Linked DNA regions of Mus musculus. Each later gene encodes a partner of the first gene's protein in a complex. Links are inferred from orthologs where the notes say so. Each region holds a gene or a part of one and is shown in the gene's direction. Other genes may lie near its edges. The genes, in order: Serpina10 and Proz.

Region 1 (4,483 bases):
TCCTGCTATTTGTGAGTTCCTGTCCTGACTTCCTTTGGTGATGAACAGCAATATGGAAGTGTAAGCTTAATAAACCGTTTCCTCCCCAACTTGCTTCTTGGTCATGATGTTTGTGCAGAACTAGAAACCCTGACTAAGACAGCAATGTTGATGATCTTTAATAAAATATACTAATCCATGTCTATGTTGTGGTTTGAAAAACTGAAAATGTGTTGGGAGTCCTTGGTTCAGGTGAGATGTGTCAGCTAGCCACCTCTACCTGTGAGGAGGGGCCTGCCAGCCGGTGATCACATGCCACTCCTTAGTCTGCTTTCAAGCAAGGTGCCTCTCAGGATGACAGGCCACAAACTTCCTGTCAGCCAGTGCATTGCTTAATGGAGTTCTTCCTCAATGGCTACCTTCCTGTCCAATGAGTGTCCTCCATCATGAGATGAGCAGATAGATGGTCACATCTGCCAGCACAGATATCCTGGAACACCGCTGTACTTAAAGGCGTTATTTTCTTTTGCCTTCATGTTATAGCTGGAACATTACTGTTTCTTATCTGCTTTTTTTAATTTGAGAAATCCTTTTATTTATTTTTTTTCAGATAGGGTCTCATGTAGCCAGGCTGGCCTTAAACTTGCTATGTAGCCACGAATGACCTTGAACCTCTGATCCTCTTGCCCCCACTTCCATAGTGCTGGGATAACAGGTGTGCTCCACTGAGCCTTATTTCATGCAGTGCTAGGGACCAAAACCTGGAGACACTCAACGAACTGAGCTATAACCACACCCCATCGCTGGTTTGTTGTTGTTGTTGTTGTTGTTGCTGCTGCTGCTGCTGCTGCTGTTTCTCTTTTGATTGTTGTTGTTGTTGTTGTTTTTTCAATTTTGTGGGTAGGGTATATAAACTTTGTCTCACTTCAAGGCTAGAAAGGGACATATAGCAAAACTTACAATGACAACCTAGTAGGTCTGAAAAGCTGTACCTCACAGGGTGCTTTCCAGCTCAGGCTCTGAGTACTTGAGAGGTTCAGCCTCAAGAGACAGAAGGTAGTACATTGACCTTGTGCAGGGCTTGTATTGTAAGACATGACCCAACAGGAATCCAGTCTCCATTACTGGACTGACAGTTCCTTACGGACAAGACAGTGGGTCTGAAATTCTACCCAAATCCCTTTATGGTTCCCAGAAGCAGCCATGAGGCCCATGATAACCTTCTTTCTAGAACCTTCATCCCCACCCCAATGAGGGTGAGACTCTTGTGAATTCTGGTCATAGTTGGGGCCATAGGACGAGCCTGGGGAATACCAGAAGTTCTTTGGTTTTCTGGAAATGCAATCATATCCCAGCAGGGTGTTAATCAGTAACAGTCCCCAGAGGCCCACACTTTGGAATAACAAATATTTACTGAAGGCTTTGGGCTGCAAAGCTTCTGCTTGCCTCTTTGCTCTGAATGATCTTCTCGGCACCAGAGGTCCAGGACTGGTAAGAGGTGGTGGATGGCAGGGGTGCCTCTAGAGTGTCTACCAGGGAGAGGTGGGAGAATAGCTGTTTTCTCGCTCTCACTCTCTCTCTCCCAGTGGGCTTCAGCAGGGAGTGGGTGGGGTGGGGGAGTTAGAGGGCAAGAATGCTGTCTTTCACCTAAACTCCAAAGGACTGTACATTGAAGTTGGGCTCCGGGTAGCATCAAAAACATGTTAGCCATAGATAGGAGGCAGCCAGGGCAAGGGCTCTGAAGGCCTGGTATTTGTCTGCCACAGCTCACTGCCGAAGCAAGTGAGCCAGGGCTGGGGGGAGGTAAGGGAGGCACTGCTCTACACACATGCTCAGGGCTAAGTGTCAGGTAGGTAGCTTATTTCCTGCCCATCTCAAACTCTGTGGGACAAGGTGTGCCCTCTATACACCCGACGCTGCCCTAGGTCCCAGGAGCACCCCGTGTATATTGTGTATGGCTGTCATGATGATGATGAGGGACCTGAAAAGACAAGTTACCCTCTTCAGTAAGCAGGCGCAGCAACGGTCAGGTGCTACAGAGACACTTCAGGGGACGACTTAGTTCTAGGAAAGTGGGACATTGTGCTGGTGTGTTGGGAAATGTTCCTGACGGCCGAGACAATGACAAGTAACTATGGAATCAGGACTAATCTGAGCGCTTAATTTACAAAGCAGAGCTAAATACCATGACAGAATTCTCCCGGGGCAGCTCAGGCTGTTGGGACAGAATAGCCAACAAATGTGCAAATGTGTTTGCACAGTTCTGGAGGCCCAAGGTGAGGGACAACATGGTTGGGCTGTGATGAGGGCTCACCTCCTGGTTTGCAGATGGTGGTCTTCTCAGTGTGTTCTTGGTGGAGAGAGGAAGGCTCTGGTGTCTCTTCCTCTTCTTATAAGGACACTAAAGCCCTCACAATCGCCCCACAATTCAGACATCATCTAGTCACTCTCAAAGGCCCCACCTTGCCATAGCCTCACCTTGGAGGATATGGCCTCAGTTTTGAGTTGTGAAGGACTAAAGGCAAGTTGTCCATTTAAACAAAAAGATGAATGTATGACACTGGAGATGTTTCGTACCTGGAAAGAAGTAATGACCCGATGCTTACAGCAATGTGGTGACCTACTAAGGGGCCTCATCATTATGGCTGGGAAGCAATTCCTAAATGGTAACATTTGGGAGACCCAGCAGGGTTATCCAGGCTAGAAAGTGGGGATGCTGGCTTCTTTGGGGTCATTTAGCAAGACCTGTGTCTTGGGGCTGGATGTGGTTTGTTACGGGTACAGAAGAGGGACTGGGAGCAACTGGAGCGCTTCTTGTCACATTCTGACTTAGAGTCTAATGGTCAGAGTGAGGGGCTGTGCTGATGGGACCTATCAAGCATCCCCAACACCTATGGCTTGAGCATCTTGCCATCCAGATCTTCCTATTGTCCAGCAGAGAGTGAGCTATTGGGAACATCTTAGTGGCATAGGCAGCCAGCCTCTAGGACACTGGTAATATTGCTGTGAACACGATGTAGTGGCACAACTCAGAGCCAGGTTTCGGATCTGAGCACACAGATGAATCTCAAGAGAGGCAGACAGACAGTCACGGGGAGCGGGGTGGGGCAGGAAAGTCGCTACCAGGGCAGACTCCCTCAGGCTGCAGAACTGGGGCACAGACAGCCAGTGTGTGCCATGGGGGGAGGGGCAACGAGACTGAGCGACTTGAACCCAGGTCTTGTGTAGAAAAAGAATCGGCTGTGTTTCCTGCAGCCACCTAGGAGCTGTGGGTAGAGGACTGAAAGAAGACCTATCGGGAACTGTGTACAGGAGATTCAGGAAAGAACCGGCTTAAGTCAGAAAATTGTGGGGAGGCTTCCTTTTCTTTGCTGGATCCCCTCTTGGACCCTCCAAATCCCTAGTCAAAGGTGTCCCATATTAAGGTTCTGTGACGCAGCATGGAGGGGCTGTTTGATATGCCTAGTAGCCAAATGATAAAGGAAAAGCTCGAAGCAGCTCAGTTAATGGCCCCAGCTCCCACCTGATCCTGCTCTAGACCAAAGGGCCACATTTGGCCCTGCCAGAGGAAAGCAAGGGAACAGAAACTGGGGGAGGGACCACACATTGCTCAAGGATCTGCTCAAGAAGATGGGACTTGGAAGAAGTCTTGTAAAATGCCCCCATTCCCTAACCAGGTGGATGAATACACCGCCTATATGCTCTAGGTCAGTCTAGGGTATAGCTAACCTGTGATCAAGCCAGGGGAGCCCACACTTAACTTGGTAGGAAGGAAGAAGAATCATGGGAGAAATTTTTGCCTGGCAAAGATGTTTTATTAGGTGCTGAGATATTCTTCGTTCTCATTCATTCATTCTCTGTCTTTCTCTCTGCCTAGGATGAAGGGAAGTGGCCCCTGGCCTCCACAGCTGACCACATGAGGGTGGCTTCTAGCCTCTTTCTTCCTGTCCTCCTGACAGAGGTGTGGCTGGTGACTAGTTTCAATCTCAGCTCCCATTCACCAGAGGCTTCCGTTCACCTGGAGTCTCAGGATTATGAGAATCAAACCTGGGAAGAGTACACACGGACTGATCCCAGGGAGGAGGAGGAGGAGGAGGAGGAAAAGGAGGAAGGCAAGGATGAGGAATATTGGCTGAGGGCCAGTCAGCAGCTCTCCAATGAGACTTCAAGCTTTGGGTTCAACCTGCTTCGAAAGATCTCCATGAGGCACGACGGCAATGTGATCTTCTCACCTTTTGGCCTGTCTGTGGCCATGGTGAATTTGATGCTGGGGACCAAGGGAGAGACCAAAGTCCAGATAGAAAATGGACTCAACCTACAGGCCCTGAGCCAAGCAGGACCCCTGATCCTTCCAGCCCTCTTCAAGAAGGTCAAAGAGACCTTCTCCAGCAACCGGGACCTGGGCCTCAGCCAGGGTAGCTTTGCCTTCATCCACAAGGACTTTGATATCAAAGAGACCTATTTCAATCTCTCCAAGAAGTATTTTGATATAGAGTATGTGTCT
Region 2 (4,545 bases), on another chromosome or scaffold:
TGGCATCACTGACTCTGTCTGAAATAAACTGAGACCTTAGTGTCTGGGCACTTTCTTGATTGAATCATGGTGGGGGCGCAGAAGACCGACTTTTAATCTGGATCTTCTGAGGGGGAAGACCGACTTTTAGTCCAGGCCACACATTCAGCTGCGAGGCCAGCCTGGTCTACAGAGTGAGTTCCAGGACAGCCAGGGCTACATAGAGAAACCCTGTCTCAAAAAACCAAAACCAAAACAAAAAGAAAAAAAAAAGGAAAAAAAAGTCAGAAGCTATAATGTGTAAACAGATGACCTGTGAGGTAAGAAAGACATACCCAGATGATGACAAAAAAAATAAAAATAAAAAAATGAAAAGTCAAACAAATAAACAAACCAACCCTGAGAAAATACCATTGAGCTTGGTTTGTGTTGGCCATCTGCTGGGCATGAGACCTGCCTTTAAGTGTGGTTTGTCTTCCTAGTGGGACTCCATTGGGGAAAACGAACTTTTCCTTTGAGAGTGCTTGCCAACTGGAGAGAACTTCTGGGTTCCTAGTGGGGTTTGTGTCTACCTCCCCTCCCAGCCTGGGAGCCGTCTGGCATAGATGTGTGCACGCTGCCCCGTGTCTGTGTCCATACGTGTGTCCATCCCATTGTATTGAGAAGGCCCACTTTCTTTGTTGTCTCGTGTCTACCTCGGGCTCTTACAAATTTCCCAGCATTCCTTCCTCAGAGTTCCCTGAGTGCTGACGGGAAGGATTTGGACCCCTCTTCTCAAGTGGCTGTTCTTGGTTTTGAGATTAGTTTTTAACAGTGTGTAAATGTTCACGTGGGATGGATCCCCACAGACAGATCTCTTCAGCCTTTCCCTAAGACACAGCACAGAGAGACCTCAAGACTGCTTGAACGTCACCTGCTTGATCCTAGAAAATTAATTTCCAGCTTGGGTCACTCACGAAAGGTACAGTTGAATTTGTTTCTCATCCAACTTTTTAAAAACAACTCCACAGTGTATGCATTGAAGATAGGGTGCTGCCCTCTCTGTCTTCTTCACTCTCTACCTTAATAAATAATTGTGCTTATAGGTGTCATTAGATTTTTGCCCCTGTGATTGTCCTTCATTCAACCAAAGATACAGGCACCTGCTGCACTGATAGGACACATTTGCTCACGATACTTTCGTCTCCTCCTACTCCAGCGTCCCTGTGCGTCTGGCTCCAGACACGCCAGCTGGCTTCCTCCTGCATGTCTCAGATCCCGCTGTGCACTCTCACCAAGGTCTCTCACCTGCCCATTTTCATCATGGAACTTTGCACTGTAAAATTCCCTTCCCTGTTAATGCTACCTGCCTCTCCTCTGTAAGACTACATATTCCCTGCGGTGGCATCCTTCCCACTCACTGCTGTGCCCGGACCCAGGAAGGCGCCTTGTGGGGGAAATGAGCCCACCTGTGCAGAGATCCCCTCCACGTCTCTCTCTCCCTAACAGTAAATCCGGAAGGAGCGGAATGAGAGTGAGCCTCCTCCCCGAGCCTCTGGGTCCATGGGTCATCTAGGCTAGCCTCTGTGTGTTCTGAGGCACACACTGACCGCAGTGCTTCCCAGGGCCCTGGACTTTGGCTGTTTGCAGACTTTGCTCTGCCTGGGCCAGCCAGGCTCTGGGTTAGCATGGCTGGCTGCATCTTGCTGCTCCGGGGCTTCATCCTTACCCTCATCCTGCACCAGGTGGAGCTTTCCGGTAGGCACTTGCTGTTTTGTTCTTTTGAAAATGTTCTCGCTTTTCCCCACTAATTTATTTATTCACTTTAGAATCTGATTGCACCTCCCTTCCTCCCGGCACCCCCCTCACACAGCCCCTCCCCCACCCCTCCCCTTCTCCTCTGCAAAGGGGGAGCCCCACCCCCCCCCGGGTACCAACCCATCCTGGCATATCAAGTAACTGAAGGGCAAAACATTTTCTTAAGGCAGAGTCTTATTCTATAGCTCAAGCTGGTCTAGGACTTACTATGTAGTTCAGTCTATCTTCAGCTCTTGGCAATCCTCCTGCCTCAGTTTCCCACATGCTAGAACCACAGGAATGAATCACCAGACCTAGCCATCTCATCCTTGGGACACTCAATGGTTCTAGAGATGATCCGGTCTCTAGGGGCTTGAAAGGACAAGCCATGATCTCATTCTCCCTCCTGAAAGTCAGTGTGGTACAGCCTAAGTTGTGCAGGATGAGACCAGGCTGGCCACCCCTTAGCCAAAGCTAGGCTGCAGCCTGTCTATGTGCCAGATGTTCTTATTCTGTGCCAGAGGACTGCGGGACAGCTAGCCTGGGCCTGGATCCACCCTGCTGTCTCCACCCTGGAGCATCTAAGCTTTCTGTGGCACTCCCGGCCTCTCTAAGTCTCCTCAGGGCCATCTGTGTGTGGTTCCAGGCCGCTGACCTCCACTCTCTCTGACTTCCACACTCCCTCCGTTCATGCCTCACACTCCTGTGGAAGTTTGCTCAATGCTAACTCCCTGTGAGGATGGAGCCCACATGGGCAAGTTCTGTCTGCCGGCTCTCCGCACTCACCCGGGCCTGAACACAAAGGTGCTCAGAAAATCACAGTTGTAGGGTTGAGCCTGCCGAGCCTTGTGATCTGCATGTATGGGACTACTTGGTACCTTGCACAGTGGAGTGTGTGTGTGTGTGTGTGTGTGTGAGAGAGAGAGAGAGAGAGAGAGAGAGAGAGAGAGAGAGAGCACTGTTAACTTGCTGTTGACAGTGACCGTGAGCTGGATGCTCCTGGTGAGTAGGACCAGATCTCTAAGTCCTGTGATGGCATCTGTCGTTGTTGTGGACAAAGCCTTGTTGCCACATCAACACCAAGCTGTGTCCATCTTTCTGGCAGGCTGTTCTCTCCTCAGACCACTGCCCAAAGAGTCCAAGATGGCAGCATGGGTACGAGGCACTCAGAGCCCAATTCTGCCCTATGAATGTGCAGGAAGGAAAACCATGTGGGCCTGAGCTGGGCCTAAGGGAGCAATTTAGCCTACCCTAGTGCTCCCTGAGCCCAGAGCTGTCTGTCTGTCTGCCTGTTCAGGACTCCTTCCTACTGTGGAGAAGCCACATGATCCCTGTGTCTTAGTTAGGGTTTTACTGCTGCGAACAGACACCATGACCAAGACAACTCTTGTAAGAACAACATTTAATCGGGGCTGGCTTACAGATTTAGAGGTTCAGTCTATTATCATTAAGGTGGGAACATGGCAGCATCCAGGCAGGCATGGTGTGGGAGGAGCTAAAAGTTCATCTGAAGGCTGTTAGCAGAATATTGATTTCCAGGCAGCTAGGATAAGGGTCTTAAAGCCCACACCCACAGTGACACACCTACTCCAACAGGGCCACACCTTCTAGTAGTGCCACTCCCTTGGCCAAGCATATGCAAGCAAATATATTCCTGTATTTCTTGTTCACACAAGGATGCCCTCCACTCTCCATAAAGCACTTGGTGACCTACTGTGTATCTGTCCACGGGTGTTACATTTTTGTGACACCAAGATTGAAAAGTGCCAGGGTAGATAACATTGAGGCAGACGATGGATGGTGTGCCTGCCCATGTCTTCATGCTTCTGTGTGGACACTCACCTACCGCAGCTGAGGGGGCATGGACTCTCACCTACTGCAGCTGACATAGCGTGGCTTCTCTGGGCCTGGATCCTCGATCCATAAAATGCCAATGTGTCTGCCTAAAACTCACAAGGGCCATCCACTCACTCAACCAAGAGAAAGTACACGCCCAGCCGAGGAGTGAGGATGCACAGAGCAGGCCCTACTGACCAGTGGGGAACAGCGTACGCTAGCTGAGGTCCTGGGTGAGAGAGGGCCCCCTGCTCACACTGTTCTGCCTCTCTACAGTGTTTCTTCCAGCCCCGAAGGCAAACAACGTTCTGCGGAGGTGGAGGCGGGGTAGTTCGTACTTCCTGGAAGAAATCTTCCAGGGAAACTTGGAGAAGGAGTGTTATGAGGAAGTCTGCAACTACGAGGAGGCAAGAGAAGTGTTTGAAAATGACGTCATCACGGTACGAAAGCCCTCAGTGCCCGTGTGCTGTCTAACAGTTCATGCACAATTGTCTCAGGACTAACTAGTTCGTTTCCTTATGCTGGGGTTGGCGCAAGCCTGACCTCACACATGAAAAAGGAGACCTAGAGATGCAGCAAGAGCCTCAGCAGCAGGTGAGGACCCCACTCCCTTCTGGTCAGGCTGCCTTGCTGGGGAGACCTGCCAATCACACCACAGCCAAAGCACCGCTCTCTGCTGCTTGCACGTGCCAGGAGAATTTTAGAAAGACGAAACTTTCCCCTTACAGACTCACAGCAAGAACACTCCCCATGGCCCATGATTAAGGAACATCTTTTCTCACACATGCATTTACACTAAACGGTCAGGTAAGAGTTCGACATTTTTAATTATTCATGAGTTCTGCCACAGGCAGAAAGAGGGAAATGTAAGGAACACTGACGATTTCCATGTAAATTCCTGAGAATATGGTTGTAAAATATTTAATATCAATTTCCCAGGCTAGGGTGTGGTAT

The links.
Region 2: the proteins of Serpina10 (region 1) and Proz are in contact, whole or in part, in a crystal structure (PDB 3H5C), measured with the Homo sapiens proteins. The link is inferred for Mus musculus from reciprocal best matches to the Homo sapiens genes SERPINA10 and PROZ. Residues at the interface, in NP_001094077.1 of Homo sapiens: Arg88, Lys89, Ser91, Met92, His94, Asp95, His257, Asp259, Lys260, Tyr261, Asn282, Phe283, Lys305, Met306, Asp308, His309, Leu310, Ala311, Leu312, Asp314, Tyr315, Leu316; in NP_003882.1 of Homo sapiens: Cys129, Pro131, Cys141, Leu142, Pro143, Ser151, His250, Met251, Arg252, Asp254, Ala257, Glu259, Asn260, Glu284, Lys285, Asp286, Phe287, His290, Leu291, Thr336, Thr337, Arg338, Arg390, Ser392, Leu393, Trp394, Gln397.

Annotation. Positions count from the first base shown.
Region 1 is NC_000078.6:103,628,371-103,632,853, reverse strand, and holds the start of Serpina10 (protein Z-dependent protease inhibitor isoform 1 precursor), read left to right. Parts: upstream 1-1,409; 5' UTR 1,410-1,470; intron 1,471-3,856; 5' UTR 3,857-3,895; coding exon 3,896-4,483. UniProt on the Homo sapiens protein: Inhibits activity of the coagulation protease factor Xa in the presence of PROZ, calcium and phospholipids. Also inhibits factor XIa in the absence of cofactors.
Region 2 is NC_000074.6:13,059,384-13,063,928, forward strand, and holds the start of Proz (vitamin K-dependent protein Z isoform 1 precursor), read left to right. Parts: upstream 1-1,524; 5' UTR 1,525-1,646; coding exon 1,647-1,716; intron 1,717-3,867; coding exon 3,868-4,031; exon of another isoform or gene 4,032-4,161; coding exon of another isoform or gene 4,162-4,185; intron 4,186-4,545. UniProt on the Homo sapiens protein: Appears to assist hemostasis by binding thrombin and promoting its association with phospholipid vesicles. Inhibits activity of the coagulation protease factor Xa in the presence of SERPINA10, calcium and phospholipids.